3 linked regions of the Ovis aries genome follow. The protein of the gene in region 1 interacts with the protein of each later gene in a biochemical or structural test. Links are inferred from orthologs where the notes say so. Each region holds a gene or a part of one and is shown on either strand. Other genes may lie near its edges.

What was found.
Region 2: the proteins of UBE2M (region 1) and DCUN1D4 form a complex in vitro, tested with the Homo sapiens proteins (3 studies listed by BioGRID). The link is inferred for Ovis aries from reciprocal best matches to the Homo sapiens genes UBE2M and DCUN1D4.
Region 3: the proteins of UBE2M (region 1) and DCUN1D5 form a complex in vitro, tested with the Homo sapiens proteins (3 studies listed by BioGRID). The link is inferred for Ovis aries from reciprocal best matches to the Homo sapiens genes UBE2M and DCUN1D5.

The regions. Positions count from the first base shown.
Region 1 is NC_056067.1:66,427,990-66,439,213, reverse strand, and holds UBE2M (NEDD8-conjugating enzyme Ubc12), read left to right. Parts: upstream 1-7,544; 5' UTR 7,545-8,075; coding exon 8,076-8,184; intron 8,185-9,311; coding exon 9,312-9,406; intron 9,407-9,523; coding exon 9,524-9,562; intron 9,563-9,674; coding exon 9,675-9,778; intron 9,779-10,029; coding exon of another isoform or gene 10,030-10,084; coding exon 10,085-10,148; intron 10,149-10,242; coding exon 10,243-10,383; 3' UTR 10,384-10,764; downstream 10,765-11,224. Other genes in the region: MZF1 (myeloid zinc finger 1), read left to right, coding at 1,821-3,256.
Region 2 is NC_056059.1:68,452,995-68,463,499, reverse strand, and holds the end of DCUN1D4 (DCN1-like protein 4), read right to left. Parts: intron 7,598-10,505; coding exon 7,493-7,597; intron 5,422-7,492; coding exon 5,257-5,421; 3' UTR 5,208-5,256; coding exon of another isoform or gene 5,152-5,207; 3' UTR 4,116-5,151; coding exon of another isoform or gene 4,060-4,115; 3' UTR 1,854-4,059; downstream 1-1,853. UniProt on the Homo sapiens protein: Contributes to the neddylation of all cullins by transferring NEDD8 from N-terminally acetylated NEDD8-conjugating E2s enzyme to different cullin C-terminal domain-RBX complexes which are necessary for the activation of cullin-RING E3 ubiquitin ligases (CRLs).
Region 3 is NC_056068.1:5,192,989-5,203,493, reverse strand, and holds part of DCUN1D5 (DCN1-like protein 5), read right to left. Parts: intron 6,297-10,505; coding exon 6,226-6,296; intron 5,817-6,225; coding exon 5,725-5,816; intron 1-5,724. UniProt on the Homo sapiens protein: Contributes to the neddylation of all cullins by transferring NEDD8 from N-terminally acetylated NEDD8-conjugating E2s enzyme to different cullin C-terminal domain-RBX complexes which is necessary for the activation of cullin-RING E3 ubiquitin ligases (CRLs).

The sequences.
Region 1 (11,224 bases):
CTGGGCAGCTAGTGCCCTGCCTCTCCCAGCACAGCACAGTCTCTGCTCTCTCCAGCCACACTGGCAGCCCCGGCTACGGCTCCTCAGCGGGTCCTTTCTCTGCTGCCCCGGTCTTTCCTTGGGCTGCACTTGCCCACAGACAACCACAGCCCCCTCTTCAAATACCAGTTCCCTCAGCCACCGTGGGCTCTGCACCACTGGGTGTCCTGGCTGCTCCCCTTGCCCTCCACAGAACGTCTGTGCAGCCAGTGTTTTCATCAGGAGAACATTCTGAATAGGTAGCATTCACGTTAGAAAATTCAGAAGGCCCGAGGGCATATACAGCGGAGCACCCCTCCCCTGCCTGAGTCACACGGTCCTGCAGCGCAACAGCCAGCCGCTCTGGTCATTTGTGTGGACTTACAGAAAGATTCTGTGTGCAGGAAAGCAAACACAAACGTGGATGCATGCTCATCTGCCGTCTTTAAAACACACATGGAGGCTGAATCTTCACCCTGTCCCCCGCCTGACATTTTTCGTGCATCTTCCCACTTGAACACACAGCAGCAAACGCCCTCCTCTTTGGACAGCTCCCCAGGACACACCTGTTTACCCATCCAGACTCCCACTGACACTCTTGAGTTACTTTTTATTGAAAACTGAGAACCTCCTATACCAGTCATTTCACACAGGGAGGAACACACTGGTGGAGAAGTACCTAGAAGTGGAATTGTTGGATTAGCCTATGGGAAATTTATCGTTTGACGTACTTGGTGACACCAGCTTGTCTGTGCTCACCAGCAATGCACACAGACACTTGGGTTCTGGAGTAAGGATGTGGAGCAGCAGACAAGTATGGCCCTAATGTGCAGTTTTCTTATGGGGGGACTAAGCATGCTTTAGGGAATTTAAGCATCAGTGATATTCCCCTTCCTTTTCCAGTCTTCTGCCCACATCCTTTCCTGTCGCCTGATTGCTGCTGCTACTTTGGTTAATTACACCCTTGACTCTGGAGGGTTTCTCAGTTTGTCATTCATCATGTGACTCTTGAGGGTTTTTGCTGAACACAAGTGATTTCCTTTGATGCAGTATAATTTATCTACGTTTTCCATGGCAGCTTATAGATTTTCTGTCATCCCTGAAGCCCCTGCTCCTCTCTCTGTGTCCCTGACGTAATTCCCTCCTCCTCCGTGCCAGGCTTGCATCTCCTCCCTCCTCCAGCATCTAAGGATGGAGTGCTCACAGCCTGGCTGGAACCTGCTCCTTTGAGCCAGATGCCTAGCCCTGTCCAATCGCAGGCAGGCCCAGGGCCTCCTGTGCCCTGCAAATGCCACGGCACCACGTCCACACTTCCCTACAGACAGGGCCAGACTCCCCAGTGGCTGCACAAGGTCTCAGCAGCGCCTCGGGAGCCGCGCTGTCATCACAGGCAGGGCACAGCAGACAGAAGTCCTGGTGGCTGCATTTCCCACCTGTTCGCTCCACTTCCAGCCTCCCTCAAACCCACCCACTTCTCTGCATCTGTGGGAACCAACATCACCCACCTGCCCAGTGCAAGGGCCACTTTTGCACTACAGCCCTTCCAGAAAGGCGGTTTTGCAAACTTAGGCCACACGTGAAAAGCCGGTCGCCAGTTTTCAGTCTTCCACCTGTCTGTCCCATCCTTACCGCCTTCGGAAGCCTGCTCAGACAGAACCCCTGCCCCTGCCCAGGTGACTTCTGTCTGCCTCCTTGGGCAGTTTTAGGTCGCTCCATTTCACACCCTTTCCCCAGGGCTGGCGTGTCTCTGGGCACCAGCGGGTTCTCTGTCATGCATGAGTGGATCCCCCTGTGCCATGCAGGGTTTACACCCCAGATGGACAACGTCTCTGTGGACCCGGACATCGTGAGCCCCCACGTCCACCTGCCCTGGGACCTCGGTGTGGCCAGCCTCACAGGCCGACAAGGGTCAGCCTCCCACGAAGGTGGCTATTCACACGCGCTAGCGCTCTCCAGCAACCTGGGAGGTGAGCTGGACCCCACGGAGGATGCCCGCCAGGGCCTGGGCCACGGGCTGGCCGTGGCGAGCTGGCGTGTCCCCAGGGGTCGCAGCCGGGCTCGGGGGCGCCCCGGCACAGGGGCCGGAGCTGAGCGAGGGGGCCGCTGCGACATGTGCGGGAAGGTGTTCAGCCAGCGCAGCAACCTGCTGCGGCACCAGAAGATCCACACCGGGGAGCGGCCCTTCGTGTGCGGCGAGTGCGGCCGCAGCTTCAGCCGCAGCTCGCACCTGCTGCGCCACCAGCTCACGCACACAGAGGAGCGGCCCTTCGTGTGCGCCGACTGCGGCCAGGGCTTCGTCCGCAGCGGGCGCCTGGAGGAGCACCGGCGCGTGCACACAGGCGAGCAGCCCTTCCGCTGCGCCGAGTGCGGCCAGAGCTTCCGCCAGCGCTCCAACCTGCTGCAGCACCAGCGCATCCACGGCGACCCGCCGGGCCCCAGCGCCGCGCCCCCCGCCCCTCCCGGCGCGCCCGAGCCCCCCGGCCCCTTCCCGTGCAGCGAGTGCCGCCAGAGCTTCGCGCGGCGCGCCGTGCTGCTGGAGCACCAGGCGGTGCACACGGGCGACAAGTGCTTCGGCTGCACTGAGTGCGGCGAGCGCTTCAGCCGCCGCGCGGTGCTGCTGCAGCACCGGCGCGTGCATAGCGGCGAGCGGCCCTTCCGGTGCGCCGAGTGCGGCCAGAGCTTCCGCCAGCGCTCCAACCTCACGCAGCACCGGCGCATCCACACGGGCGAGCGGCCCTTCACCTGCGCCGAGTGCGGCAAGGCCTTCCGCCAGCGGCCCACGCTCACGCAGCACCTGCGCGTGCACACGGGCGAGAAGCCCTTTGCCTGCCCCGAGTGCGGCCAGCGCTTCAGCCAGCGCCTAAGGCTCACGCGCCACCAGCGGACGCACACGGGCGAGAAGCCCTACCGCTGCCGCGAGTGCGGCCTGGGCTTCACGCAGGTCTCCCGGCTCACCGAGCACCAGCGCATCCACACGGGCGAGCGGCCCTTCGCCTGCCCCGAGTGCGGCCAGCGCTTCCGGCAGCACGCCAACCTCACGCAGCACCGGCGCATCCACACAGGCGAGCGGCCGTACACCTGCCCCGAATGCGGCAAGGCCTTCCGCCAGCGGCCCACGCTCACACAGCACCTGCGCACCCACCGGCGCGAGAAGCCCTTCGCCTGCCAGGACTGCGGCCGCCGCTTCCACCAGAGCACCAAGCTCATTCAGCACCAGCGCGCGCACAGTGCAGAGTAGCCGGGGCAGGCGGCCCCGCCACCGTCCACCGTTGGGGGCGGGCTGTGCGGGGAACACCTACCTCATGGGGTTGCTGAGACCCGTGATCGCGTGGGTACAACCCAGCTCTCTTAGGGCCCGGCTCCCAGTAGGTGCTCAATAAACAACGCACAGAACCTCTGTCTGGGTCTGCACCCACTGTCTGCCCACCTGCCTGGACCCCTCTCAGCCCTCACTACAGGTCTACCACCTTCTCTGTAACCACGGGGCTCCTGCAAGACGCAGGGCTCCCGGCAGATGTGGCCTCTGGCAGGGCCTGCCCACGTCTGCAGGACGTCCCCTTACAGCAGGGCTTCTGTGCTATTTGCTTTCAACCCACCTCTCTGCCGGCCAAGTCAACGGCCAGCAGAGGACCAGGAGGGCACAGCCCTGCCAGCCAGCCAAGACCACTGGGTGCTGAAGCATCAGATGGGTGCCATTAGTCCACTGCCAGCCTGAGTTTATGTCTTTATGAAACCGAGGCGGCCATATCTTAGCTGTAAAAGCTGTAAGGTTTTAAGTGGGAATCTAGTCTTAGGAGACTTTCCTCTGTTCCCACAGACTCCATCCGGTCTGAGAACCAAAGCTGGCGGCAAGGCTAGGCCAGTTCCCCAGCCCTCCAGGTGCTGTCGTGGGCTGTTCTCTTCCCTCCCTGGCCCCAGGCACAACCCCTAAGTACCCCCCAACTGGAAGGTCTCTATCATGTGTGTTCAGTAACTAGTCACAGGACACACCAGCTGCTGACATACAGGTGGACAGACACTGGCAGCTCCAGGTCAGAGTTCCGCAGACTTGAGGGCGGGACCTCTGGACCCCTCCCGCCTTTTCCTGTGCCACTGCTGCTTTTGCCCTGTCCTCCCCTTCCATCCTACTGCTGGGGCCTTGACACGGCCCCCCTTTCCCCCAATGGATGGCGGAAGGACCAGAGACCATGGGTGAAAAGCAGTTCCAAAAAGGGGATATTCATGCAGCAGGGTCTGGCTTGGGACTTGAACCTCACCCTAGACTGGAGTCAGCCTGATCTTGGTCTAGAGATCTAGAGGGTTCTAGGAACAGCCCTTCCAGAAGCACAGCTGCTACCTCACCTGCCACTTTGAGTTGCCCCAGTCCCTACAAGACTTGGGCCCTGGTATCAGGAAAAGACAAGCAGCCTGGGCCAGGGGCTCCCTACCAGCACGCGAGAGAAGGCCCGCTCCAAGCCTCAGGCCCCCTCCTCCCCAACCCGACCCTTCCCCTTCCCCCTCCCCGCTGGTCTAGCGCCAGCCACAACCAGGGCCACTCTCGGCATCTACTGGACAGGGAGGCCTGGCGTGCTGCGACTCATGGGGTTGCACAGGGTCGGACACGACTGAGCGACTGGACCGGACTGGACTGGACTACATCCAGCAAGGTCTGCCACTCCCCAAGGCAGGGGCACTCCTGTGCCGCACGATCAGGACTGAGGCGGGGCAGGGTGGGGGTGGGGGTCCCCTGGGCCCTTTGACAGCACTCAGTTCTCTGGTCACAAACGGTTCTGAGAACCCTGGTGTGAGATATGTAGAATCAGAGGGAAGAGGAAGACAGAAAGCGGCTGAGGAATCAGCTCAGAGAAGGCACACGAATGAACACAGGTGGCCAGTAGCTAGTGGTCTCAGGTTGGAGGAATGTTGCCGGAACTTTATAAAATCCTGTAATGTGGGGGTTTTTTTATGACTTGCGTGACTTATAATCTGAAACAAAGAAAACTCATCTTTGGTCATCTTTGTGCTCATCATGAAATCTGTGCAGATACAACTACATAAAAACATGAAATTCCACACAGGAAAAATCACAACAAACATGAAAAGCATGGGGACATCTGGATGGGACCCCACACCCAAATCCTTGAGAAGTCCAGGGACCCACCTCCCAAAACAGCCCTCTGAGAAGAAGTCAACGTGAACAGCTATGTGAGGGCAGCTGACCAGGGACACCTTTGCAATCCAGTCACATTGGCTACAGGGCAAGACCCAAGTGTTACCATGCAATCAAGACAGAGGGCTTGGACAGAATGACCATTTGGCCAGAGCCATAGAAGAACCCAGGAGAGGACTACCTAAGCACTGGTCATCTAGGAAAGCTGCAACAGTGCCCAGTCAGCCTGTCCCCAGACTGTCTGTATCCGAGTTCATACTGTCCACTCCCAAGCCCAGCCGGCTGCCCCACGCCACATCCATCTAGTTATTCTCATCAGCACCCCAGCCTCCCAAATCTATCCACTTGTCTCCACCAATCAGCACTGCTCTGATTCCAGCCATCCACCTCCAGCCTGGAGGCCATTCCCTGGACAGACCCCTTCTTCCCAGTGCCAGGGCCCAGAGGCTAGGGTAACAATCGTAGGTGCACTTTCACCCTCGCAGCCCACACACCAGGTTCTGCCCACTCCTCTGCCCGGTCCCTCCACAGCACTGGCCCCAGCTTGCCTCAGGGCCTTTGCATGTATTAAGCCCTGTGCTGCTTACTAACAGGCGGCAGGACCAAGGGCCGCAAGCACCTGTACCACCCAAACCACCTGTGCCTCTCTGCCACGTGAGTGAGCACGAAGGTGACAAGCTTAGCTGCACCACCTCCAACCCAGCCGCCTGCCTCACTTAGGCCATCCCCTCCTCCTCGGTCCAGACACTATGGCCCCCTTTGCTTAGCATTTTGTTTCATGATGAAGTTTTACCCACTGCACGGTGGGGAAGCCACAAGATCAAAGATCACACAAGTCTAGCTGTGGACTGTTACCTCTCCAGGGAATCAATACTCTATCCCGAGATGGGACCTTAGCTGAAGGGTCTCATTAACTGGCCTGAGGATGGACACATGAACCAGGCTGGCCAATAAAAACCATCCCTGAGACTTTGGTTGGAAACTGCAGGATGGTCATCAACCCTCACGTGCCGTACAAAAATAATCACCAAGAGTAGAGCGGATGAGAAGAACAAAAAGGAAAACTGAGTTTGAAAGAGGCCTCCGCGTCCCAGGAACAGTCATGCCTGAAGCCTGAGAACACTAGGATGGTTGCGATCTCATCCGCCCCAAACCTGAGGTTTTCTGCAGCTTCCAATCGCTTAGCCTCACCCCAGCACCTCTCCAGCACACAGCTCTCAAGGAAATCAACGAAGCCGGCAGTCTGGGGCGAGGACGACCAGAGGGTTGAAGGGGGGCTTCTGGAATGGAGGAAAGAGAATGCAAGCGGGAGAAAAAGGGAACGGCTGCAACAGCCACGACTAGGATATGAGACCACGGAGCCCAAGGACGCCGAGGGTACCCGAGAGGAGGCTGGGGTCGGCAGGGACGCCAAATCACGGCCCGAAAAGGTGGAGGTTACTTTCTGGGGTGAGGATCGGGCCGGGGTAGCCAAGAGGAGGCCATGGCCCACCACTAGCGCGGGCCCAACTGGGCCGCCGGACTACTCCCACTGTGCTCCAGAAGACGGCGGCACGCCGCCTCAGCGACGGGGTGGGTCGTGCGGCAGGAGCCTCATTCGGTCGCGGGAAGGCTCAGGGGCAGAGCCCCGGCCGCCCCCCGGGCCCGGCCCCCCGCCCCGACCAGCCCTCGTGGCGCCGCTCACCGCCTGACGGAGTCCTCGGTGACAGCCTGAAGTCGCAGAACCGCTCCGCGCCGCCTGCTCGCGCCTTCCAACGCACGCTGAGCTGTGATTGGAGGGGAGGCTGGCTCCGCCCACCTCGCGGACGGAGATGGCGGAAGGCCGGGGGTCGCCTGCGGGCAAACTCTAGACCCGTGCGGAGGGCTGCCCCCAAGCGTGTGAGCCCGTGTAAACCTCCACAGTGTTATACTATCCTCTGACACGTTTTATTTGCTAGTTTACCTCAACCAAACTCTGCAGGCGGGTTCTCTGAGCCTGAGATGGGACCCCGAAGGTTCTGAGTCATGCACTCTAGGCCACGCTCCTGGCCTTGCTCAGGCTCTGACTCTAACCCTGCCTCCGTCTGTGGCCCCTGGGGTCAAGCCCCTTGTTTGGCCCGTCTATGCCGCCGTCCGCACAACTGCGAGTGGGCATGGCGGCCCGCAAGTGAGGCGGCCTGCATCTGCCCCACTTAAATATGGCGGCGACACCGCCATCCCCCTCCTCCCTGGACTCGCGGGCGTCCCCGGAAGTGACCGGCCCGGCCCGCACGAACGGAAATACCCGAACCAAGCCGAAGGAGCCCGATCCCCAAGTCCCAGCGCGGAGCAACGTGGGGCGGTGGCAGCGGCTGCGCAAGCGCACAGCGCAGGCCGGGCGGGAAGAGCCGAAGCGGGCAGGCGACGGAAATAGCCGAAGCGGTGGGGCGCCCGAGGCCGTTGCGGACCTCCGCGCCGAAGCCGCTGCTGCCACGGAAGCCGGCCCTCCTGTCTAGTGCACGGCCATCGCAGCCCCCGCCTCCCCCTTCCGCCTCGAGCCGCAGAGCCCTCGCGAAGAGAGCGAGTGACCAGGCCCAGGGACACGGCTTGAGGACCCCGCGTCCGCAGCCGAGCCTGAGGACGCCGGAGCGGACGGCCGGGAGGAGGGAGCGGCGGGTGGGGGCGGGGCCGAGTAAGCCCGAGAACAGCCGAGCGGGCCCGAACGCCGCCGAGCGGGCCCGAGGCGCCGGGCCAGGCCAGAGCCGACTACGGGAGCCGACGCGGGCCGCGCGGTGGGCGCGGAGCAGCGCGGCAGGCCCGGCGGGCGGCGGCAGCAGCCGGAGAGGCCGCGGCGGCGGGTCCGAGTGGCGGAGGCGGCGCGGGCGGCGGCGGGGGGCCGGGTGGCCGGGGTCCCGGGCCCCGCAGCGGCGGCAGCGGCGGCGGCGGCAGGATGATCAAGCTGTTCTCGCTGAAGCAGCAGAAGAAGGAGGAGGAGTCGGCGGGCGGCACCAAGGGCAGCAGCAAGAAGGCGTCGGCGGCGCAGCTGCGGATCCAGAAGGGTAAGGGGAGTCGGGGGATGGGAGTGGAGGTCGGAGGTCAGAGCCTGGCTCCGGGTGATACGGGAGTCAGGTGTGGAGTAATGCGGCTGCCAGGGGTCAAAGGTGTCAGAAACGGGGAGGCCGCGGATGTGGGGATCGGAGACCAGGGCCTGGGGGCCGAGGGGCCGGGGATGGGGTAATATAATCACCAAAGTGGTCGGAGGTAGGGGGGCCGAGCAGGGGGCACTGAGCGTGTTCGGAAAGCTAGGAGTCTGATACTAGGGACCGAGAATCTGAGGGTGGCAGCGGAAGAGGGAGACCGGGAACTCGAGAGTCGGGGGGTCAGATGGGAACCTGGGCGACAGGAAGAGGAGATAGGGACAGTGGGGCCGAGGATTGAGGATCGGGGTGGGAGATTTAGTGTATTAACGCTAGAGTCACTGGGAATCAGAGTCAGACCTGGTGAAGTGGGTTCTGGGGCCTGGGTGTCGTGGGTCTGGGTGAGTCACATGTCAGTTTGGGGTGACAGGAGGAGGGAGGGATGCTGGGTACCAGGGATTATAGAGATAGGAGTAGGGTTGGGTTTAGACCATCCTGCTAGAGATGCTGGAACTCTTATGCTCAGAATAGTATAGGGTAGGAGGCTTGGGAACTCACAGATCTGGAGGTCAGATGGGATCCTGAGTTTAGGACGACAAGCAGAGAGGAGTGTATGGACAGTGGGGGCCAGGGACTGGGGGGGGTGGTGATTTAGGGTGAGGAAGGGAAATAAGATCCTTGCATCTGCGCAGACAAGTAGAGACTCCTCTAGAAAGCGGAGGTCGCGGTCAGGATGCTGGATTTGGGGTGGGACACACAGGAGTGGGAACATGTAGGAGCTGGGCTGGGGGACTTACGACTGGATTCAGAAGAGTTAGAGCTTGCCCCCCAGGAGTTCCAGCATATCTGCAGTGTTCCATAGATACGGAAGAGCCTGCCTGGAGACGCGGAGCAGAAGGAGCAGGGAGAGGGAGGAGGGGGTGGCCCACTGCCCAGGACAGAACTGGGGTCCTGGGTAGAGGTTATGGAGGCTCTGCTGGCACCTGCTCTGAGCACCCCCTATCTCCCCCTTTCCTGGCCTGTTTCCCTTCTCTGCTGTGAAAACCCAGACATAAACGAGCTGAATCTGCCCAAGACGTGTGACATCAGTTTCTCAGATCCAGACGACCTCCTCAACTTCAAGCTGGTTATCTGTCCTGATGAGGTGAGGGCACGCTTAACTGGATTCTCAGGCACGGCAGGTGACACCACCTCAAGTTGGCTGGTTCACCTGCCGGGCCTTGCAGAGTGGGGTTCTGACTCCTCTCCTCTTCCTTCACAGGGCTTCTACAAGAGCGGGAAGTTTGTGTTCAGTTTTAAGGTGAGTCTCAGGTGTGCAGGGGTGGCTCCCTGGGCTGAGGAAGCAACAGCTGAGGCCCCAGCCAGGCACTGCTGTGCACCTATCCACTTGCCCTCTCTTCTCCTGGAGCCAGGTGGGCCAGGGTTACCCGCATGACCCCCCCAAGGTGAAGTGTGAGACGATGGTTTATCACCCCAACATTGACCTCGAGGGCAACGTCTGCCTCAACATCCTCAGGTGAGGGCACTGGCCCTCCACTACGCTGCCCAGCCCTGCCTGCCAGGCCCCCTTCATGACCTTGCACTATACCAGTCTCTTTCCCTTCCCTTCCCCTTGTGGTCTGTGTGTCCCTCTGTCTCTTCAGCTCTGCGTTTTCTTCCTCATGGCTTGACCTTGGCTTTCTGGCCTGTGCTTCTCTGCACCCTCCCGCTAGCATTTCCCGATCGTGCTGTCCCATGCCCTGGGCCTGACCTGTCTGGTCCCAGCAGGGCCTGTGGTGGCTGCCCGCTCACCAGCCCCTATCATGATGCTCTCTGCCCACAGAGAGGACTGGAAGCCAGTCCTTACGATAAACTCCATAATTTATGGCTTGCAGTATCTCTTCTTGGTGAGTAGGGGTGGGGGTGGGAGGGCAGCTGGGGGAGGTTGGCCCTCTGACTTCTGGGCTTGTTGACCTCCTGCCCCTCCCATACCGGCCACAGGAGCCCAACCCTGAAGACCCACTGAACAAGGAAGCCGCCGAGGTCCTGCAGAACAACCGGAGGCTGTTTGAGCAGAATGTGCAGCGCTCCATGCGGGGTGGTTATATCGGCTCCACCTACTTCGAGCGCTGCCTGAAATAGGGCTGGCGCATACCCACCCCTGCCAGGGCCACCAGCCCCGGCGTCCCCTGCAGATATTTATTGGGGGCCACAGGTGGGGGGACAATGGGGCGGCCGGTGGGGGAATCCCATGCCCTGGCCGGCCACCCCTCCCTGCTACCCGCTCCTAGTTTTTTTTTTTTTTAACCACCATGTGATTAAGGTCGGCGCTGCCTCCCCCGACCCGCTCAGCGATGGGAAATGAATTGGCTTGTCTAGCCCCCCGCTGGGTGCTGTCCAGCCCCACCCCCTACTCTGGGCTCTGGGGTGGGTGGCCATGGGGACTGGGTGGCTGGGGACCCGGCACCCCACCCCTCCACCACTGGAGGTCCCACCAGGCTATTAAAGGGGAATGTTACTGCATGGCCTCCGCCTCTTCCTTTTGTGGGGTGGGAGGGGCAGGTGATGGCCGCCAGAGCTCCTGCAGCAAGAGTGGTGGGAGTTGTGTGCTCACAGGTGGTATGAGGGGACTCCCCCTCAGGCAGGATGAGATGAATCCCATTCTGGGACAAGGGAGGGGCAGGATCCAGTGACCACTGGCTTCCCGGCCAGTGAGCCGGCACAGGGGCTAAGTCCGCACCGTCTGCTGTTCTGCCCTCCTACCGGAGGAGGAAAACTGCCTGGTGCCACTGGGTACCTGAGATTTGGAAACATCAGCGCGAGTTCTGGGTCCCTCAGATGAGCAGAGCTCTACAGTGAGTGACGTGGTGGGGTGAAGGACCGCCGGGTGGCTGGAAGGAAGGCGCCCGAAAGGGCATCAAGCCCACGGGGCCAAGATGGGACAGGGGCTCAGCTCCCTTAGGCTGGACTTGAACCTACGGAA
Region 2 (10,505 bases), on another chromosome or scaffold:
CCTTACAGCCTGCTGATAACCAGATCTCAAAACAAAAATCCACACATAAACACTTAACAATGGTGTGCTAAAGTAATGACAATCATCGTGATGGACTAGAAAGATTCTGCCACCTCCACTGGTATCTTTGTGTACACTGCTGCACCTCCTTAGGGACAGTTCTTGGATCAGTCCCCACAATGCCCAACTCTCCAAAAGGGACACTCAGTTCCAACTGAGTCAGTATCTTTCTGGCCTACCATGTATAACTGATAAGGTGCCACTTACACCCAATCACCATAAGACCTTCCATCCAGAGGTGAGGTGAGGTGAAGTCGCTCAGTTGTGTCCAACTCTTTGCGATCCTGTGGACTGTAACCTACTAGGCTTCTCCGTCCATGGGATTCTCCAGGCAAGAATACTGGAGTGGATTGCCATTCCCTTTTCCAGAGGATCTTCCTGACCCAGGGATCAAACCCGGGTCTCCTGCATTGCAGGCAGATTCTTTACCGTTTTGAGCTACAGGGAAGTCCTCCATGATAGGATAACCCTTGTCCAAATCCTACTCTCGAGGTAGGATATGTAGGAGCCAACAAGTAATGAAGCCAAAATAAATAATGGGCCATCAAGAGGAAAAAAAACACAGTGGCTTTCAATATACTATTAGAAGTTAGACCAAAACTCTTTGGAGAGTTAGTTCACTGGTAACAAGTACAACTACAGCTCTCTTTAATCATCATACATTTATCGTAAGACTTCTACAGAACACTAGTTTGAATTTCAGATATTCAGATTAGGCAATTCTGAGATGCCTCTGCTGGAAAGTGTCAGAGGGAAAACCAAACCTCTTCAGCATGCTTTCTCAAGGCCAGAGTTCTTCATAATCCACTCTCCAGGGAGCAACTGCAAAAGAATTTCCTTCAGAGGACTGAATACATTTCTTTGGGAAAAGAGATTTACATTTTAAATGATATTTTTAAAAAATGTCCATTTAATTACTACAGTCAATTTTTGTTTTTCAGTTTCCAATTATTATTCTCAGCACAGGCTACTTACCATAATTTCTCAGCAAGTACACTTCTATACATGGGATGATTTTATTTTTTGTTAAGGCAATTGAAAATAAATGTTAGGAACCGACTGGGGGTGGGGGGTTGGGGGCGGGGAACCCAAAGTATTGTCTGTTGAATGTGCCTGAAGCGGTGAACATGCCTTATTTTGGAATACCTCCTGCACCACAAGCGTAGCTTAGGTACACAGGGCCAGAAAGCCTGATGTATTGTTTGCTCACGTGATAGGTTTCTTTTTTCTTTCCTTTCTAGCTATAACAAAGTTCCAAGGGCAATTCTTTTCTAAAGAAATCACAAAAGCTTCCCTCTAAGCTTCTGCCTAAAAGTTATTCTTCCCACCAGAATTTGGGAAGAACATTCAAATGAGTCATTTCAGTATGATATAACCACGTCACAGCACCATGGGAACTAGGTCCTACCTTTCTATAGGTTCAAACAAATGAAGAAAGTTCAGAAGGAGATGTTTCCCACCTCACTTTTGTAGCCTTGGGGCTGACTTGATGATACATGAAATACTTTAAAACTACCTTGTGTGCTGTGCTTAGTTGCTCGGCCATGTCTGACCCTTTGCGACCGCATGGGCTGCAGCCCGCCAGGCTCCTCTGGGGATTCTCCAGGCAATAATACTGAAGTGGGTTTGCCATGCCCTTCTCCAGGGGATCTCCCCAAGCCAGGGAGAGAACCCAGGTCTCCTGCACTGCAGGCGGATTCTTTACTGTCTGAGCCACCCAGGGAAGTTTAAAACTACCTTAAGGGGTTTTTAAAGAGAAAGCCACGAAAAGAGAAAAATAAACAGATCAGTTCTGAAATCAAACACAAATAACTTTTTTATTTATGGGGTATCGTTTTACATCAATTCCATTAAAACCTAAAACCAGTTTGCTGTACTCAAGTTAGGTGGCATAACAATATTTCAGTTAAGCTGGGAGTCACAGACTTGCACACGTTTATGAAGGTGATGCAAATACTGACGACACGAAGCATTCACAGTTACAGGTTAGCTGCAGTTCACTGACAGTAACCCCCGAGAGAAATGACTTCATGAAAAGAAGCAACCCACATTTTGGTCTCATTTACAGACACCCAACAATTTAGTTGGTCAATGGATTCTATACATTTATTATACAACATATGAAAGAATAAAAGATAAGGCTTACAGAGGTATTTTAGCAGTTGTAAGAGTAAAAACCAAGGGCACAAACTAACTTTTAAAGCTTTCTGTATAAACTTCAAAAGCACTGTTAAGATGGAGACTGAGAGGCAACAGAAGTCTGTTGTTAATCCAGATCCTAGAAGTCTGTCTAGTCAGCTTTATAAAAACTTAGTTCAGAGGTCATGCTTCAAATAAGCTGCACGTAACGTTATAGAGGGTGATTATGGCAAATAAAATAATGCAATTTCTGACCTACCGCAACAGTAAACATCTAAAAGTTGGATTCCATTATCACAGAGTATTGCAACGTGGAGGCCAAAACACGACAGAAAGAGAGAAAGGGTGGAGATGTAGGTGATAAAGAAAAACCAGAAAAAGGCACCCTCATTTACTTAGCATTTGCCCATAAATAAGTGCTTGGTGACTGCTCAACTTATGTAACTTAGGGAGATTTTTATGAAAAAATATCTTATTACTTCTGGCTCTTCCTCCCCTTAAAAATAACTGCATAAAATCACAGAAACCAAGGGCAAGCACGCTGCAGTCACATTTATTTTTCAAGGGAATTCAGAGATTATTTGGCCTTTTCTAAATAGGCAAGATCATCCTTTGGAATACTTACTTCCATGTTACACATCATGAAATAATTTTTGCTTAGCTTTTCCAAAACCCCTGTCATCAAAATGTTCAATGTGTGTTAAAATGTAACATTTTCCCTGTAGCCACCCTCTTATTTTGGGATTAACTGTGCTTACTGTTAAAAAATTTTCCAGTTTCTTACAGTACCTTTGAAAATAATTTCATTGATGATTTCTATTTGCTTTAAACAAAACTAGAGTTGATCGAATTTAAGAACTGCTGCCTTTAAAGTGTGATTTGTTAACTTCATGGGATCCTTTTGAAAATGAATCAAGTTCTTTACAGGCTGGAACCTGCCTATAGCCAATTGCCAACGGAGTTAACAGGCACCCGTCGGAATGGAAGCCCTTTCAACACGCTGGTCTCAGGAGCTGTGCTTGCTGTCAACGTCTTCTGTTCTTTTCAGGGATGAATTTGTGCAAACTGGTGTGAATGTGTAAAGTAGAAGGGGAGTCTACAGCTTCTAAACAAGGAATGATTAAGTATGCTTAATCACTACAGAGTTTTTCAAACTTCTGGTTTATTTCACAGCAAACCAAACCTTTCTATTTGGTAGAAAAAGGAAGTGAATTTCATTCTACCAGATCATGATTTTGTATATGCACACACACTGTATATACATACAAAATTCCTGTCTTTGGCGGTTCAGTTAGGGAAAAACAAAATATGAAAATCTGAACACTGTTTGCAAAGAAACTATGAAGTCGTGGTCAAACAGTAGCATTGTCTGTGTGCTTTACTCATATAATGCCATTTAAAGGTTCACATTTGACCCAAAAGGTTTTGGGGCCAGGTTTTGAAATAATCTGAACCTCTTCCAACTGTCACATGTTCAGTCATGGATTCTGCTCACAACTATGCATTTACTTGCTCAAATGCACCAGTAGCTTTTACTTGGTTCTAAGTCATTAGACTGTCTAATGACGGTCTAAGTCATTAGACTACTGTGTTCTCACAAAACTTTAGGGACTAAATTAAGTCATTCAATAGCACCAGAGAGTTGAGGGAGAAGCATGTTTTTTATACATTTCCTTGAGAAGGGCTAAGACAAGAAAAGAAAAAAACAAAAACATAAAATACAAACCTAAAAATACCGTCCCGTTTACTTCTGTTTCCTTACCCACATAAATAATGGCTATCACCTCTCTGTACATATTACTCAGGTAATGACGAGCGGCCCCTCCAGGAAAGGTCCTACCGTGTAATAGAGTTTTTAGCTCAATGCTGGTGGTGTCGTGTCCACTGCCTGCAATGGACATTCTGCCAGGAAAAGCCTAGCATGAAAGAAACAAAAAAAGGAAAACAAAACAAAACACCTCTCACTTATAGTATAGTTCTTCCCCCCACCCGCCCCCGCAAAACTAGAAAATCAGACACCATGAAAGCTTAACTAAAAATTCAAGCCACAACTAAAAGTGCTCTGCAGTTATAAATTGCCAGCAAACCATTAGGTTTTCATGGAGGCGGCAAAATAAATTTTACTTAGAATGGCATAGAAAGCATCAGCAGACCAAACACTGACTAGAAGAATGCAAAAGGGGTGGGGGAAAGCACTAAAAAAGTGTACAAGGGTTTAAAACCAATGGGAAAAAAGGTGCAATTGTAATTTGTTCATCTGTACCTATATTCAAACTATGACAGCTTTAACATTAGAAAATCAAAACCTATATACTGCATGGTGGAAATGATTTGTGGCATGGTATGGGTCTATATGTTCAATTATTCTAACTTTCATCATTTCAAAATGCTAATATTTAAGTAAACCAAATTAGATTTGGCATAGCGCCTCTGAAAAGTTACGACTCCCACCTCCTTCCAAAGTTGGCCTCTTAAATAATAAGGTTAATTCTGGCAACATTTGCATATGGTAATAGCTGTTCTGTCTTGTGTTCTGAAATGCTACATTTTGAGACCAAAGAAAAGTGTAATTGGGTCATTTGAAAAAAGGGACTAGAAATATGCCACAAAAATTATTTTACAATACATTTTTGCAGAAATAATCTCTAGGTGAAGCTTTGTCTTTTTATACACATATACAAAATTTAAACAGCAATATACACATAATCACAGTGAGGACGTTGGCAAATTCACCAATCTGTAGTGTAAATACAAACTGCAAAGCAGCCTTCCAAGAGAACAATGCTACACAGCAAGCAGAGCTGGCCCATTCAATAGCAAACACCAACACGTCCCTGCCAAAGGGAGACAGTGCAAGAAAAGCAGCATGCGCTTGGATACAAACAGCAATTTATGGCTAATGGTTGACATAACTGTGGTAACAGTGACTCTCTCGCTGCTATGCATAAAGTCCTAGGACATCTGTTTGTCTTTATACCACTCCACAAACTCGTCCAACAAAACTGGCCCTGAAGAGAGAGAGAAGAGAGGGAGGGAACAACACAGCTATGAGACTTCTCAGAGGCTGAGGAGCAAATGCGCGGGAGACAGGGGGAAAACAACACCCGCCCAGTACTTACACGCTCCATCTTCATCATAGTTGCTGAGGTCAAGGTTAATTGTTCTGCTAAACTCTAGCACATTGCACCACTGGTCTTTATTAATAACTTTATATTTTGATTGCTGGTGGAGGAAAAATAATATGAATTACTAACACAACAAATCAGACAGTTTCAACTGCTGTGACAATCAACTTGATAACAGCTCACAAAGGTCCATTTGAGGGGTGTTAGGCACCATGCTAGGAGAAGGGTGAGTGATGGCGAGAAGGGAACTTTGGATGACAATTTTAATTACAAAAATATTATGGGGGCTCAACATAAAACAACAAATGCATCAAAGAAACACATCTTTACATCCCTAGAAGTGCAACTGCTAGATGGCAAAAGCCCTTTTATGTAAAAGAGGGATAATATCCATTTCACAGAGATGTGGTAAGGCTTAAGGCAGATAATTTCTATAATTTATGAAAAGCACCTTATTGAGTGTGTGGCACACAGTAAGTGCTAAATAAAGAGTTGCTCCCATTAACAGGCCCTGACATGAACATCATGCTTCCTGTCAAGCTGTCAGCTAACGGCACATGCCACTGTGGGTTTACTCAACGAGACCTTGCTAAGAGCTGCAAGCAGTCTCAGGACTAGGTGGTCCAGCCACTGAAGAGTTATTGTTCTAATAATTAAAAACTTGAGTCTGATCATAAAAGGACTAAGAACAGCCATGAAATAGTTTTTCTCTTCCTCCCAGACAGGAAAAAGGACACATGCATATTTCAAAATACAGTATTCCTGTATAAAAATCTAAAAATAAAACCCAGTCTGATAATTCTTAAATCTTTGCCACTGAAACCGGGAACACTGGAAAACAAGTACATAAAAAGCAAAGAGAGTTGAGCCAATGGTTTGGAGGATGCAAACACAAGAAAAGCTCAAGTGAAAGGATTACTGGGTCCTTTTAAAAGAAAAATGCAAACTGGTGTGAGAGAGAGAACAAAGCACAGACTATAAGTGTAACTTTCTAAGCAACTAAAAGCAAAACCCAGTCACTGTTGATGGTGCTCCTGGAACTGTGTGAAGTCAAATCTGCTGTAGTCTTTTAGCTATAGAAGGACCTTCACACCCAGCCTTAAATTCTTCCCAGCCTCCTGAGATCAGGAGCCCATTGCTACTCACTTTCCAAATAAAGCTAACATTTTTGAGGATTGTCAGAGAAGCTGGAAGAGATCACTGGTATACATGGGCTGTCATGTAAACAAGTGCTTCTTATATTAAAAACTTATTTTCATACCTTTCTTCAGGAATCCCAGTTAATAATGTTAAAAGCAAATTTCAATAACAGTTCTCCAAGGAGCCTGTCAGTTAGAAGTTTTTCTGGACCATTACACCAACAAGTTGTGAGGAAAATTATTTCAAGAGTGAAGCTGGAGTCAGGGTAAAGTCCAGGAATTTCTCCAAGATCCAACACCCTCTTCCTTTCAAGCAAAAAGCAATTTTTAAAGGGGTTTGGGGACTGGAGGGCAAGAAGGAGGCTATATATGACAACCCAAGTAACTCAGACTTTCAGCTCAAGTTCTTCCAGGTCTTAACAGTATTATTACATTGGCATCAGAGCCAGTTCCTAATAACCAGCAGCTCAGAATTTCTCTCATTAATACTTAGAGCAAACAAACGATAACAATGGAGGGAAGTGCTGGGTTCTTTCAAACACAAACATGAAGAAAATTTAAACTGCAGGAGATACCAAATGAAGGAACTGGCCACTGAGACTGAAGCTGCTTGGAGATGAGAGTGGGTAAGGACTTGTTACAGACTGAACTTAGTGAGAGAGTGGATGGCTGTTCTCTAACCTTCACTTCATCAAAGTGGAGCTTCATCTAAAGCCACAAAATAAGGTAAAGCTTGTCCCACTCTCGTTATAAAAAGCAGGAAATCTAAACACAAACAAAAGGGGGAAGAGAGAGGAAAGGCCAGAGCTGCGCTGTCTGGAGCATTTGCAGGGGGGCCAGGGGCGTGTGCAGTGCACACGTGGGGACGCTCGGGACTCGGGAATGTGCTCAGTGGCAGCAAGTGTGTCGCCACAGTTCCTACAGGCAGAGAAGTACGACAAACAGAAAAGTACAGAAAAGGACCAAGTAAAGCACACTTGGTAGTTCTAAGCAAGCAAACATACATTCCATAAAATAACAATTTAGTACCTCTAAGAACTGGTGAAAAACTGGAAAAAGGGGCCAGATTTTTCCTAGTAACAGTCCCAACATGCACTTGGCAGTGTTTATGTCTAGGCTTCGCTGGTCCTTTTCCTGTTTAACAAACAAAAACAAGGATGAGCCAAGTGCCCCCAAATAATCTGTTTCAACAATCCAAATTCCTATTTCACTTCAGTGAGGAATCAGTAAACAGCTCCTGTATCATACACCATAAAAACCCTGAATCAAGACTAGGGTAGGGGGGAGGAGAGGTGGTCAGACATAATGGAAGGATTAAACAGTTTTGTACTATAGAGTTTTACTGTGAGAAAGATTCATATCAATTAAATGATTACCCTAATCTATGATTATTTCATGGGATATGATTGTTACCTGTGATTATTTCTTGGGATAAATAAAAATCCATAACTCAGTCACTAGCTGTTTGACATTTATGATTATTATCGACATCATAATTACTGATCCCCAAAACCTTTAACTTAACTAAATAGAGTTTAAAGGTTTCAAATTTCATGCTTAGGAATCAGGTTTCCTTGAAAAAAAATCTTTCTTCCACCAATTTTATTTCACTGGTAAATGTTTTTTTTTGTACCTAAAAATGATGGAGTTCAGTGGAGCTCATAATGAACACTGGGGCACTGGAGAATCTTCCATCCCCCACCCTGGGGGAAAGCAGTATATCCACCTGTCTACCAGCCACAGTGCTTCTTACCTTAGATCTGCTGCATGCGACATCTCCTAGCAGAACACCCCTAACTAACAGCCAAGTGAAAGACGACATTGCATGAGGAATCCAGAAAAGACATTTACATAAACCTGAATGTGGGCAGATTAAGCTCCTTCTACGGATATTTACAATTAAGAATGCTAATTTCTCACTGATCTTTCTTACAAGATTCCATTTGGGAACTAAAAAGTGGGCAGTTTCTATGTAAAAGGACAGAGGACCTGGGACCCTGAGTGGTAACCTTAGACATCAAATGCTAGCTAGCCTCGTCATGGTATCTTAGTTTCAAAGAAAGTTTGCAAAAGTATCTTTCTACAAAGGGAGAAAGTGCCTGGCTGTTTCATGTGGAGTGGAATCTCAATGTTCACCAGATTAAAGGAGGATGCATGACCCCGTGGCAGCCACATATGCAGCCACACATACCTCCTGATAAAACTGTTACCTCAAGGATTCTAACAGTGAAGTGCTCTTGAGTACAAGGAGAATTTCTGGCCCTGACATTGATTTTAAAGTAAAGGACTTAAAACAATACAGCAAACGTAAGCGCCTCACTCAATAGCCAAGAATGGAGATGTGCGACGGGTCTGCCTTTTAGCCCCAGTTGTGCGGCACGATGACCACGCAACCACAGGCCGGGTCAGATGGCTCTCAGTCACCCGGCCCTGTCCTGGCCACACAGCTGAAGTCTGAGGCGGGCTCCACAGTTCAGGGCAAGGAGGGGCCTGCCCTCCGCAGCCTGTCCTGCCCTCCCCTGGCCACATGCATGGCCCTGCTCAGGGGTGCAGGGCTCACTCCGAGGAGAGGACAACAGTGGGAAGGGCGCCCTGTGGGGGCCCCGCTTCTGCCCCCGAGCCTCATGGGGTGTTGCACTGCATGGCTCGTGCTTCCGCAATGCACTGTGCAAGGAAACAGCAGACTTCCTCTTGTCCTGTCACATGGGTGCAGCAGCAGCAGCATTCCCCGCTATGAAGCACCCTCCACAGTCCCATGGAAGAAACCCAGGGACCTGCTGGAAACGCACGCGGCACCACGGGACCGGGCACCAGTTGAACAACAGCTCAGGCAACGCTGGGCTGAGGGCATGGACGCTCTGGAAATGCTCTCCCTCTGAGGAGCCTGCAGTCACTCACTAGACCTAAAGTCGCCAGTCTTGCCCTGATACACACTGTGCCTTCTTCCAATACCATCCACGTCCCCATCACAATGGACATACACTAAGGTGACAGAAAAGAAGATACAGAGGACCTGGACAGACTCTTGGAAACAGTGCAACCATCTGACAAACTGGTGATCATGAAGGATTTCAATGCATGTGTTTGGCAGCGATGCCAAAACATGGAGGGAAGGCATCAGACTCACAGGGCCGGAAAGCTGAACAGCACTCACTCACTCCTGCTCTGCCAGGGTGCCAGCCAGCAGCTTGCAATCACTAACACCATCTTCTGCCTAGCAAACAAGAGAGAGATATTATGGAGGCACTCGCAATCTGAACAGTGGCATCTCGCTGATCACCAATGTTGCCTGTGGGGGGAGGTGAGGCTACGTGCAAATGACTATGACTGCAAACACTGCAGATTCCTGGGGACAGCACAACTGAGAGATCCCAGAGCAAACATCCACGAAACAGCAAAATGGAGACACGCCCGGGGGTTCTCTGACAGTGATCCTAATGGCATTCTCAAAGATGTTCCCAACTAAGTGAACTGAATCTCCCAGGATGCTATGAAGCAGCCATCAACACTGAGTGTTGTTTTTTTTTTTTTTTTTAAGTCACCTTAACAAATCCAAGGAATACAGCTAAAAACATCTAGAAGCCCTTCAAAGGAAATTCAAATAGTATGCTGTCAACACTGACCCTGTGATTCTGCTTGTGGAGCATCAGGGTGCAATAGGCAGACTTCGGCATCTCAAGGTCAGAATCTAAGCAGCAAGTACCTTGAGACAGACTGTCCAGTGTCAACCAGAACCCACAAAGGCCCATCAAGGCTAAGGGGAAAGCAGCAGAACCGCTCTCCCTGCCACCTCTTGACCCACAATGTGCAGGTATGGATTTCATGAAGTTTCATTTTTCTAAGACAACAAAACAAACAACTTTCATTGTATCTATCAAATACTAATAGGAACCAAGCAGGTTTCACACACACACACCAAAGATCTATTAACCCCCTACAATACACCACTAGAGTCTGCTTTGTGGTCTTCCTTAAACACACATTTTTAAAAGCAGTTACAGATGTTATTTGCAGCTGTAAAACCAAAGGATCCTACTCAGAA
Region 3 (10,505 bases), on another chromosome or scaffold:
TTATGAGAAATTTATTATTTACTATTTCAATAAATGGCTTCTACTAGTGCAAACATTCAAAGTTCTAATGAAAGTTGAAAATGCAGTTAACTTCTACCAGAAGAATATGCAAAAGAAACAAATTCTCAGATTATATGCTATTATAATAGTGTTTGAAAACTGGGACATCTCAAAACTTGAGATCTCCAGAGTTGTCAACTGAGAATGTTCCAAAGGTCCTAGTATGACTAGTCACAGGTGCTCCCGTTCCCATCAGGACCTACCTTTAAGTAGGGGCCTCGTTTTCTACATCTTTGAGCTTCATCAGCAGCTTTTCACATTTTTTTTTAATGATGTGACTCACAAAATTTTAACAGACTTGAGATTCAGGAGGTAAAACAAGTTAAAGGATACCTCCCTACTTTAAAAGCTTTTTTTCTCTCAATACCTCCAGAATTCAAAAATCGTCCTCATAGTATTAACATGGGGCCTGGCATATAGGCCCCAGCATTCCAAAACTGTCTGTTAAATAAAGGTATGAGTATCAAAAATAAAACACAAAGTAGATGATGTATTACAAAAGGTTTCAAAATTCCCATCTGGGAAAAAGTTAGTGGAAAACTATAGTTCAAACAGAATTGTTAAGTGTGTAAGTAGTGACTAACAAGTCTCTCTAGGAGATAATCTAAGAGATTACAATTCTTTCCAAATATTTTACATTCCACAGTTGTGTGTGCTTGGTCATGTCCGACTCTGTGCCCCCATGGATGGTAGGTAGCCCACCAGGATCCTCTGTCCATGCAATTTCCAGGTAAGAACACTGGAATGGGGTGCCATTTTCTGCTCCAGGGAGGTACACAAAGTAACAATATTACTTAGGATGAGACCTCAATAATACAGAGATAAAGAACAAAGTTTCAAGTCAAACAGAGAATTGAAATTCCAATTTTTCCACTTCCAGCCATGTGGCTTTAAGCAAGTTATTTAATCTTTTCCAGTCTGTTTCTCATTTTAAAACCACAAAAACAATGAGACAGCCATAAGGTTACTAATGAGGATCATGTATTAAATGTGTAACACAATTTTAGCTTGACAGGCTGAGTTAAACACAAATTTCCACATTTATCAGGAACATCATAAAGACATGGCTGAAGCCAGCAAAACCAGTAAACACGCCCAAGCTGTTATTAACAGACAATTCTGATATTTAATCTAGCTCCAAAATAGACTCACAGGAGTTAATAATCTTGATACCTCTTAACTCAGCAAGTGTAGGAAGAATATTTCGTCTGAACTAAAAAGAAACACGTACTATAAGTAGTACAGCATGGAAAATAAGAATAGTCTATTTTTGAATATCAAATAAAACTATAGTTTTCGGGGAACACTGGCACAATACAATAACCATCTTCAAAGTCACTGCTGTTAGAATGAATAGAAATGGGTTTAAATTTCAACATAAAGGCTTAGGGATTAATTTCCTAAATATTGTTAAACATTTTATTAACAAGAGAGACTTGAATTTCCGCTTCATTAAAATGAGAGAAAATTTTCATTTAGGTCTAAGTGAGGTTTTCTTCCTTAATCTTCAAGTCCTAATAAGAATGCTGTGACACACTGATGCTATAATAGGAAGAATTTTATTCACAAAGTTATGGATGTAGAACATTCTCTGAATCAGGTCTATTGACCTCAATACAAAAATTCCACCTCTGGAGGCATTTGGAAATGTGGAGAGGGGGCATTCTGAAACAGTCATGGTGACTCTGCGGCAGAGCAAAGGGGAAGAACCACACCAATGACAACTGGTACTTGGGCCCCAAATGCTAAGTGAATGATAAATCATATGCCACATACAGTATAGCATACAATCTACTCAAATCTTCTACTCTCACCAAAACAAATTATATAAATGTTCCCCATTCATCTCTCCTGTAGGAAAGTAAAGTCTGTCAAGCCTTTACTCTTCAAAGTACAGAGTTCAACATGGAGACCAGAGGGTATACAATTTGTAGTCTACTGGAAGACAGCTTAGTGTACTATCGTTCTCATCAGATCCTATTCTTTCTTTCTTCATGATCATAATCTAGTATACTCTTTTCAAAGATCTATGCCCACAATTTTCTCTAACAGCATGGTAATTCATCTTTGCTCCAACAACAAACTTTCAGCTGGTACATGTGAGAAAATTCCTTTGCTCCAGTAAGTATGGCAGAATAAAATTTTCAAGTATCCTTGGAATCTTGCCGCTATAGATCCAAGGAAGAAGATCCATATGCAACATTTTGTGTGTAGCAACATATGTGCATTATAACGAGGATAAGGTTCACAGTTTTCCTTAAGATTTTCAAGAGTATATGATCTTAAAACATTTTTTAAAAAATCAACTCTATTGAAATCATCCCCCAAATCTTTGATAATTCCTGTGCTCAATAACCTGGTGCCTTCCCAATCTAAAACATATGGTTTAAACTCTCTCAACATATTACTCAAAGTCCTGCATAATGCAGTCATATCTCAACTATCTGGAGTTTAAAACTGCTGTCAGTTTCTTTTATGTACCTTTTGATTCCAGCAAACTAGACATATGTTTTTCCTTCTCGAGGCTCTGCTTACAGTTTTCTCTTGAAACATTTTTCTATATCCTCAACCATTAAAATCCTAATCATTGTTCAAAGGTCTAGTTCAAACGCTACACCCACAGCGAAGACTTGCCTGTCTACTCAGTGGTAATTAATCTCCTTAGCAGCTGTGCTTTCACAGTATCTGTTACTTTTACTCAGCACCTGTCCCATCCCACATGGATCTATGGTTTGTTTCTCAGTCGTATCCAACTCTTCAGAGACCCCGTGGACTGTAGCCCACCAGGCTCCTCTACCATGGGGTTTCCCAGGCAAGAATATTGGAGTGGGTTGCCACTTCCTTCTCCAGGGGGCTTTTCTGACCCAGGGATGGAGCGCACATCTCCTGGATTGCAGGCACATTCTTTATCGCTGAGCCACTGGGGATTTACTTATATTTACAGTATTGTAACACTCTCCCGCCCTGCTAGAATGTAACTAAGTAAAAGCTGTGTCCCATGCCTCACTGTGATCACCAGTAAGCAGCACAGTATCTTAGATAAAATAAGGGTAAATATCTATTAAATCTGACTTGAAGGGAAATTTGACTATTAATAAACAACAATGAAAACAAAATAAAGCAAAATATCTGGAAAGGATATGGCAATCACATCCCCAAAACTTACAAAATGACCATTCTACTCCAATTATGTACAAATTCACACCCATAAATTCTTTCAAACAAGAGAAAACAACAATTCAGTTATGGAAAGTCTATGTGAATAACAGCTTTAAAATAAATAAATGTTTTCAAAAAAAGTATTATGAAAACAATTAAGTATTACACAATTACAGATTTTAATTAACCATGATTATGATATTCTACTATTCATGACCATAATGTATGTCTTAACTATCAGACTGTTTCTATTCTTTAGCAGAGCTGTACTCAAGTTTTCTAAGGGTTAAAATTAATTAATTTGAAACAGCTGATAATTACATTAAAGTGATTCAGGAGTCATCAAATAACCATGTTCAGGTTAAATCCTAAAAATAGAAACAACTATAAAAAGAATGAAGTCTGTAAAATTTTATACTTCATAATTGTAAAAACCAAGTATACTAGAAAACTATACATTTTTAAAAAAACTAAGAGCTCTGTCTCTCTTGGTTTACTTTGAAAACTATTTTATACATGTTCCTTGTAAGAGTATTCAGGGGCTAATAAGACTTACCCAACTAAGAAAAGATACTTTGTACATCACATAGCAATCTAGATCATCAGAGGAAAAAAACTATTTTCCCAGTCAAGAATGCTTGCCTAATTTTAGTAACTTCAAGGCTCTACACTATAGAGCTCTAGGCAAATGGGTAGGGGATAACATGAGTGAAACAAAAACCTCTGGGTCAATTTTAAGTGCTAAATATTGCTTTTATTATTTAAAGCCTGTGAACTTCCTGCTGGAAAGATTTGCTAATAATCAACATGTTCATGGGTTCATCAATTTTCCTAGCATATACCTAAAGTCATATGCAAATACTAGAAACATTTTTGTTTATATATGTTATCCAGAGGCTCCTTATATAATATCAAGTTATTCAAAAGCAATTAGAAACTTTTGGTTTAAAAATATGCAAACACTTGTTAGCTGAGATATTGAAAAAAGTAGGACAAAAGCAGCAGCAGAAGAGTACAAAAAGCAACTGTAATGCCAAATAAAAGGTCTCACAATTAACGAGCTATGTGACAACCAATACAGGTTTTAATAAAACAGACTGAGCTGTATAAAATTCTTTATATTCTTTGCATACTCCTGTATATTTATCTTTCTCTAAAAAGTTAATTAAATGGTGGCAAACAGCTCAAAGAATTTCAGAAGCAACATTATTTTAATCTGCCATGTTATGACACCTAGATGAATGGCAGAATCTGCAGTCCTGGTTAGAAACACTATGATTTTAAAAGTTAATAATGGCCTTCTATTTTATAAAGACTGCTAACAAAGGAAAACACAAAGGAATGCCACAATAGGAACTGCAGTATGGTAGACTGGTCATCAGGAAATTAAAATTCTAGCTCTGCTATCCTTAGTTCCATAGGAACTATGTAAACTTTGGCAAAAATGCTCTTCACCTCTCTGAATTTCAGACTCCTCATCTCATCAAGAAATAATAAAAGTGAGAGAGTTGACTTTGTGTTCTCTTTTCTTTATATCTGTGTGTTTGTATATACACACATAAAATATCTAAATGTTAATCCTGGTTTAAGAAACATTAGACACTGAAAATTCAAAAATATTTAAGTTTCATATGAACAAATACACTTGAAAAATCAGGTATCCTGAAAGTTAAGGATAGGCAAACAAGGAGTAAACAACAGTTAAGCGTGTTAATTAAAATCATACAACAGGAAACTAATTAACCTCCAGTTTGGGGCTCCAAAAATATTATAAATTTATGCTTGCTCTATTTTAGAATGTTGATTATTAATTACTTCCTGGATGAACATCAGGAATATGACATAATATAAAATTAACACACAATTACCAATTGAAACTAAGCACACTGTACTCTGGAAAGCCAAAATCAAATTATTTTTATAAAGAAGCAATTTTGTGAAAAAGAAGTAATTTTGTAACTTATAAAAGCATTCAAAAGCAGCATACAATATGAAAGTATACAACTATAAAATGGCTAAATGTTGCACACTTATTTATTAACGCCAAACAATATTTCTTTTATTCTTTAAAACTGTCATGTAAGTCACTTCAAATTTCTTTTTTAAGTTAAGTATAAAACTGAAGAGAGAGGAGGTCCCAGAGCTCAGAACTGCTGAAGAACAAACTACTCAAGTAGTAGAATTCTGTATTCTGAGAAGGAAGTCCCTCATTGCTCAAACATTCCATGAATAAATAACTTCTATCATAAAGCTCTAGTTCATGCATCAGGAGAATAGGTGGGTTTTAACAGAACTGTTCTTAAAGATTCTTTCTTAGAAAATATGAAACATGGAGTAACTGCTCATTTGGCAAAGACCATAATATAATTTTTTTCAATCCTAAACTGATTATTATAGATAAAACTAATTTAAGGTGAAGACTTACTCCTGAAATTACGAAGCACAAAATATCAATTAAGATTTTCAAATAGGCCATCAAATTTGTTTTTTAAAAAAATTTCTTACTGTAATGAAGTCATCCCCTTTAACCATTCTTCCTTGGTAAAAAATCCCATGCTTTCAGCCTCCAATTTCCACGCTAAAACTAACATAATAATCTGGAAAGAACAGAACATAAAGGATAGGGGAGAAGTCAGCACAGAGATTATCATGTCTATATTTATCATGGAGAGCATTTTTATACAACTATTTCCATCCTTCAACTATTAAAGAGTACAATCTCTGGAATTATTAACTGTAAAGAAATTTAGATGGGTCAATTTCTTAAAAGCAAAATATTCTAACAGTTTCTGAAGGTAGAATCTCTTACTCTATTACAAAAGACATTTATATCAAGAAAGATAATACATGCCCACGTTAAATTCACTTAAAAAAACCTAAATGAAAATCTGCAATATTCATGAAGAAACAAAATTTTCTTATAAGATTAAACTGTTCCAATTTTTAGAAATTTATGAATATTCTATACCCCACTTGCATTCCATTCTACTTAAAAATAAAACATACATTTTCAGGTTCAACACCAATGTCTTCACAAAATTTTTCCATTCCTTCTGGCCCTACAACTTCATCAGGACCTTCAAAGACAAAAATAATTTATATATTTTATTGTTATAACTTTATATCAACATAAAACAGAAGCCACTGTGTTAAAGGAATTTATGAATACATAACATTTTTTTGTGAATAACTGACTTTGAATTTTTACATGCCTTTGATAAAGTATGAATATTTGTACAGATTAAATTTTTTTAACTTTGAAATCCTCTTTGAACACATTATAAAATATAATAAAGGACATAAAAACAAACATTAATGACAATCACTAGGTTGTACAATTAAAAATACATTTACTGAGAGCTTCCTCTGAAGAAATTTTCTGACAATGCATCAATATAAAAAAGCACAAGAAGGTTTGAGCTCCTTATTCTACTAGAATGTGCCAGTACCAACCCACAATTCAAGACAGTAAACAGAGGAGAACAAAGGAGAATATCTGTTTCTTACTAAACCAGATGGTCATTCATTAACCTTCTGAAATATATCCATAAAAATTTAATATTTTTTAAGATATAACAATAATGATATAAGAAAATGGCTACATTGAGATTCCAGAATGAGAAATTTTCCAAGTAAAGCATGAATACTATGTAATCTTAATGTAGAAATAAATCCTTAATCTCTCAATTAGCTATGTCTATCATTAGTTCAAAAATTAAGGACATTTTTCCTATTTTTTCCCTTAGTAACACTAAACATAAGTCAGTACATCAATTTTCCTATTTTGTATGTTATCTTTTGCTTAGTAAGAGTAAAACAAATTTGTGACAACATAGATGAACCTCAAGGGCATTCTGCTAAGTGAAACAAGTCAGAGAAAGGGAAATACAACATGAGCTCACTTGCATAAGGAATCTACCAAAAATAATCAAACTCAAATACAGAGAAGTGATTGGTGGTTGCCAGAGGCAAGGGTGGGCAAGATGAGTGAAGGTGGTCAAAAGGCACAAACTTCCAAACGTAGTAAGTCCTGAGGATGTAACATGGAGCAGGATGACTATAGTGTTAATAATACTATTTCGAGTATTTCAAAGTAGCTAAGACAGTAAATTCTTAAAAGTTCTTATCACAAGGAAACAAAATTTGTAGCCATGCGTAGTGACAGGTGGTAATAATTTTGTGATAAAATCATATATCATTATGTTGTATACCTGAAATTAATATAATAATATACATCAATTTAAAAGGCTAAAATAAAATTTTAAACTAGATATGATACAAATATGTTTACCACACCTGGTTTTTGAAAGAAAACACAGTCTTCAAACATTAAAGTAGCTAAGAGAAACTTGTTTCCTTTCTTAAGGACTAAAAATACTCCAGCTTATATGTCATGGACTAGACCAAGGCTGCTCAGGTGGCATTTTATATCACCCTCTTTAGTTCATAAGCACAACATGCGGCCAATGTCCTATGGCTTTTCTTAGTAGAAAAATGTAACTACCCAGTATGGGACCAGTTAAGCTTTTATTGTCTCAGATGAGGTCCAGACTGCTAAGATGATATTAACACATGATCTGAAACTAAATGTTTTAAAAATTCTTTGGTCTAAATAAGTATTGTACTTTTTTATACAGTGAAATGTTAAAAGGTTAAGGAGTGATAATTATAGGAAACTTTCACTTCCTAATATACATTTGGACACTTTTTTTATGAAAATGTGTTAATTACATTATTTTAAAAGCACACATACATAATTAAGGTGTTAAAAAATAACCGAATGTGCATCCTTATATGTGGTTTGGATGAAAATAAAAACCAGATAAAGAACTGAATGGAAGAAAACAAAGTTTTGTTAAGTCATGATTGAAATATATTTTAAACTTTTCTAATGCAGCAAGAAAGCAAACTTGTCCTCCACACTGCCATCACTAGTAATTGTAAGAGAAAGCTGAAGAGTCATATCAAGAAATATCAGTTACTGTCATAAAAAATAGCCTCCCTGGAAAATGGGAGACTATTGATTAAAATTTGATAAAAATCAAATTAAACTGTATTATATAAAGATATATAAGATACATATAAGACCTTTTTGTAAATGTCAAGTGACTTTCACAAAACAAATAACAACAATCTAAATCTAAAACAAGTCTATACTATAATGTTCTTTTCCCCAGATCACATAACATCAATTATACTTCTTCAAACAAACTCTTCCAATAAAACTACTTCCAGGGTAAAACCTCTGGAGTAGAATTTAACTATTTCAGGCACAATATGGGTTTCTACTCAACTTAAGAAGCTATGAAAATGATTTAGTTCACTCTACCAGCTGGTAACTTTACTGCTGCTGCTGCTAAGTCAGTTTACTAGGACTAAGCAATTATATCCCCCTTTTTTAAATTCTTTTTAAGACTTTAAAATGCCTTTTCACTTCCAACACCTTTCTTCAACAACAGGCCTAATATATTCCCGAATCCTTGCCAATGCAAGTATCACTCAAAATGAGAGGTCTTATGAAAGGGAAAAACTATCAGGCTTTTCACACACCACTTATGACCTACAATATCTTATTAACAAGATTTGTGGTAAAACATTTTGTTGCAGTTGTTTCGCTCAACTGTGTCAGACTCTTTTGTAACCCCATGGACTGCAGCCTGCCAGGCTTCTCTGTTCATGGGATTTTCCAGCCAATAATACTGGAGTGGGTTGCCACTTCCTCCTCCAGGAAACGCTTTTAAAATTTAAAAGAAAATCAATTTTCTGATGGTTTAATAACCATATAGTTCCCAGCTATATCTGCAGGGTCTAAAACAATGCCAGCCAGAGCAAATGCTCAGGGGAAAAAAAAATCTGCTCAAAGCATGACACAGCACCTTAAACATAAGCTACATAGGAGCTACATTGTTAATTTTTTGGAACAGTATTGTAAAAATATACAACCAGTAAATCTGATGCTGCAATACTATCACTCTTTTAATAATAGCTAACATTTATTGGGTTCTAACTACATACCAGGTACAGCACTAAGTGTTTTCTTTACATGTTTTATCTTGGAAGGCACAATTATTGCCTCCATTTTAAACAAGGACATCTCAGTTACTCTAACTGACAGACAACTAGCACCTCCTCATCGTTTAGGTCTCTGATTGAAGTAATCTCCAGAGAGGCCTTCCCTAGTCAGTTTATTTGAAAGTCTATCCCAACTTTCTACTTTCCATCCCTGCATCACACAACATTACTTTTATAATCTTCCACCATGTGTAATTATCTTGCTTACTTACTGTGTCTTCCCCATTAGAGGGCAAGTCCCCCAAGGGTAGGGATCTTGTCTGACTTGTTCACCACTATATTCCCAGCACTCAGCACAGTGCCTGACACATGGATACAAGTGCTCCATAAATATGCATCATTAGATGAATGACAGAATATTAGTTAACCTCAAGTATACTTACTAATATTTTTTTTGGAAAAAGAAAACTGGCTGCCGTGTACAAATTTTAAAACAAGATAGTAGCAGCTAAGCATAGGCTACATGGTCAGAATGACCGGGGTTTGAATCCAGCCTCTTGTCATTGTATGATCTTGGGCAAATTACTTGATCTAAGCCTGTTTCTCATCTATAAAACAAGAATACCACCAACTACTTAGCAGAATGGTCACAGGAAAAAAATTAGATAATAAAGAATAAAGATAGCAATTAGTTTGCTGGCTATCAAAAAATGTTGGCATAGAAAATAAATGGTTAACTAAATCTAATCCTACCCTACCCAGGAAAGTCCCTATGAGAAGTAAAACAATCAAGCATGAAAGAAAGAAAAAAAAAAAAAGACTAATTAATTTTATGTATCTAGTACCCTTTATAGGTGAAATAAGATGACCAGCCTTTGATTCTATATCTTCCCATGCATACCAGTAAAACTGGCATTTTGAATACTGGGTCAACATTTCAAATGGAGGTCAAAAAGAAAATGAATTCCCTCTATTTAATTTGGGTTAGTGGTTGTCTTGGGATGCCAGTAATAGCAGCTTTTCTGGTCTATAAAGAATCTGTTCTGTTACTAAACAATTTTTAAATTATATTGTTGAGATTGCTCAGAGGATACCAACAGTGAAGCTACTGTCTCTCAAAATAGTCTTTTTCCATACATAACCTAAAAAACTAAATCTTAAGTTCAAAATTCCCTTGAGATCTAAGCCTTATTATCACTAAATATAAGACAATGACTGCATATACAGTGTTTTATTCTAAACAAACACTCTGAGGATGATAGGTAAAAGGGGGG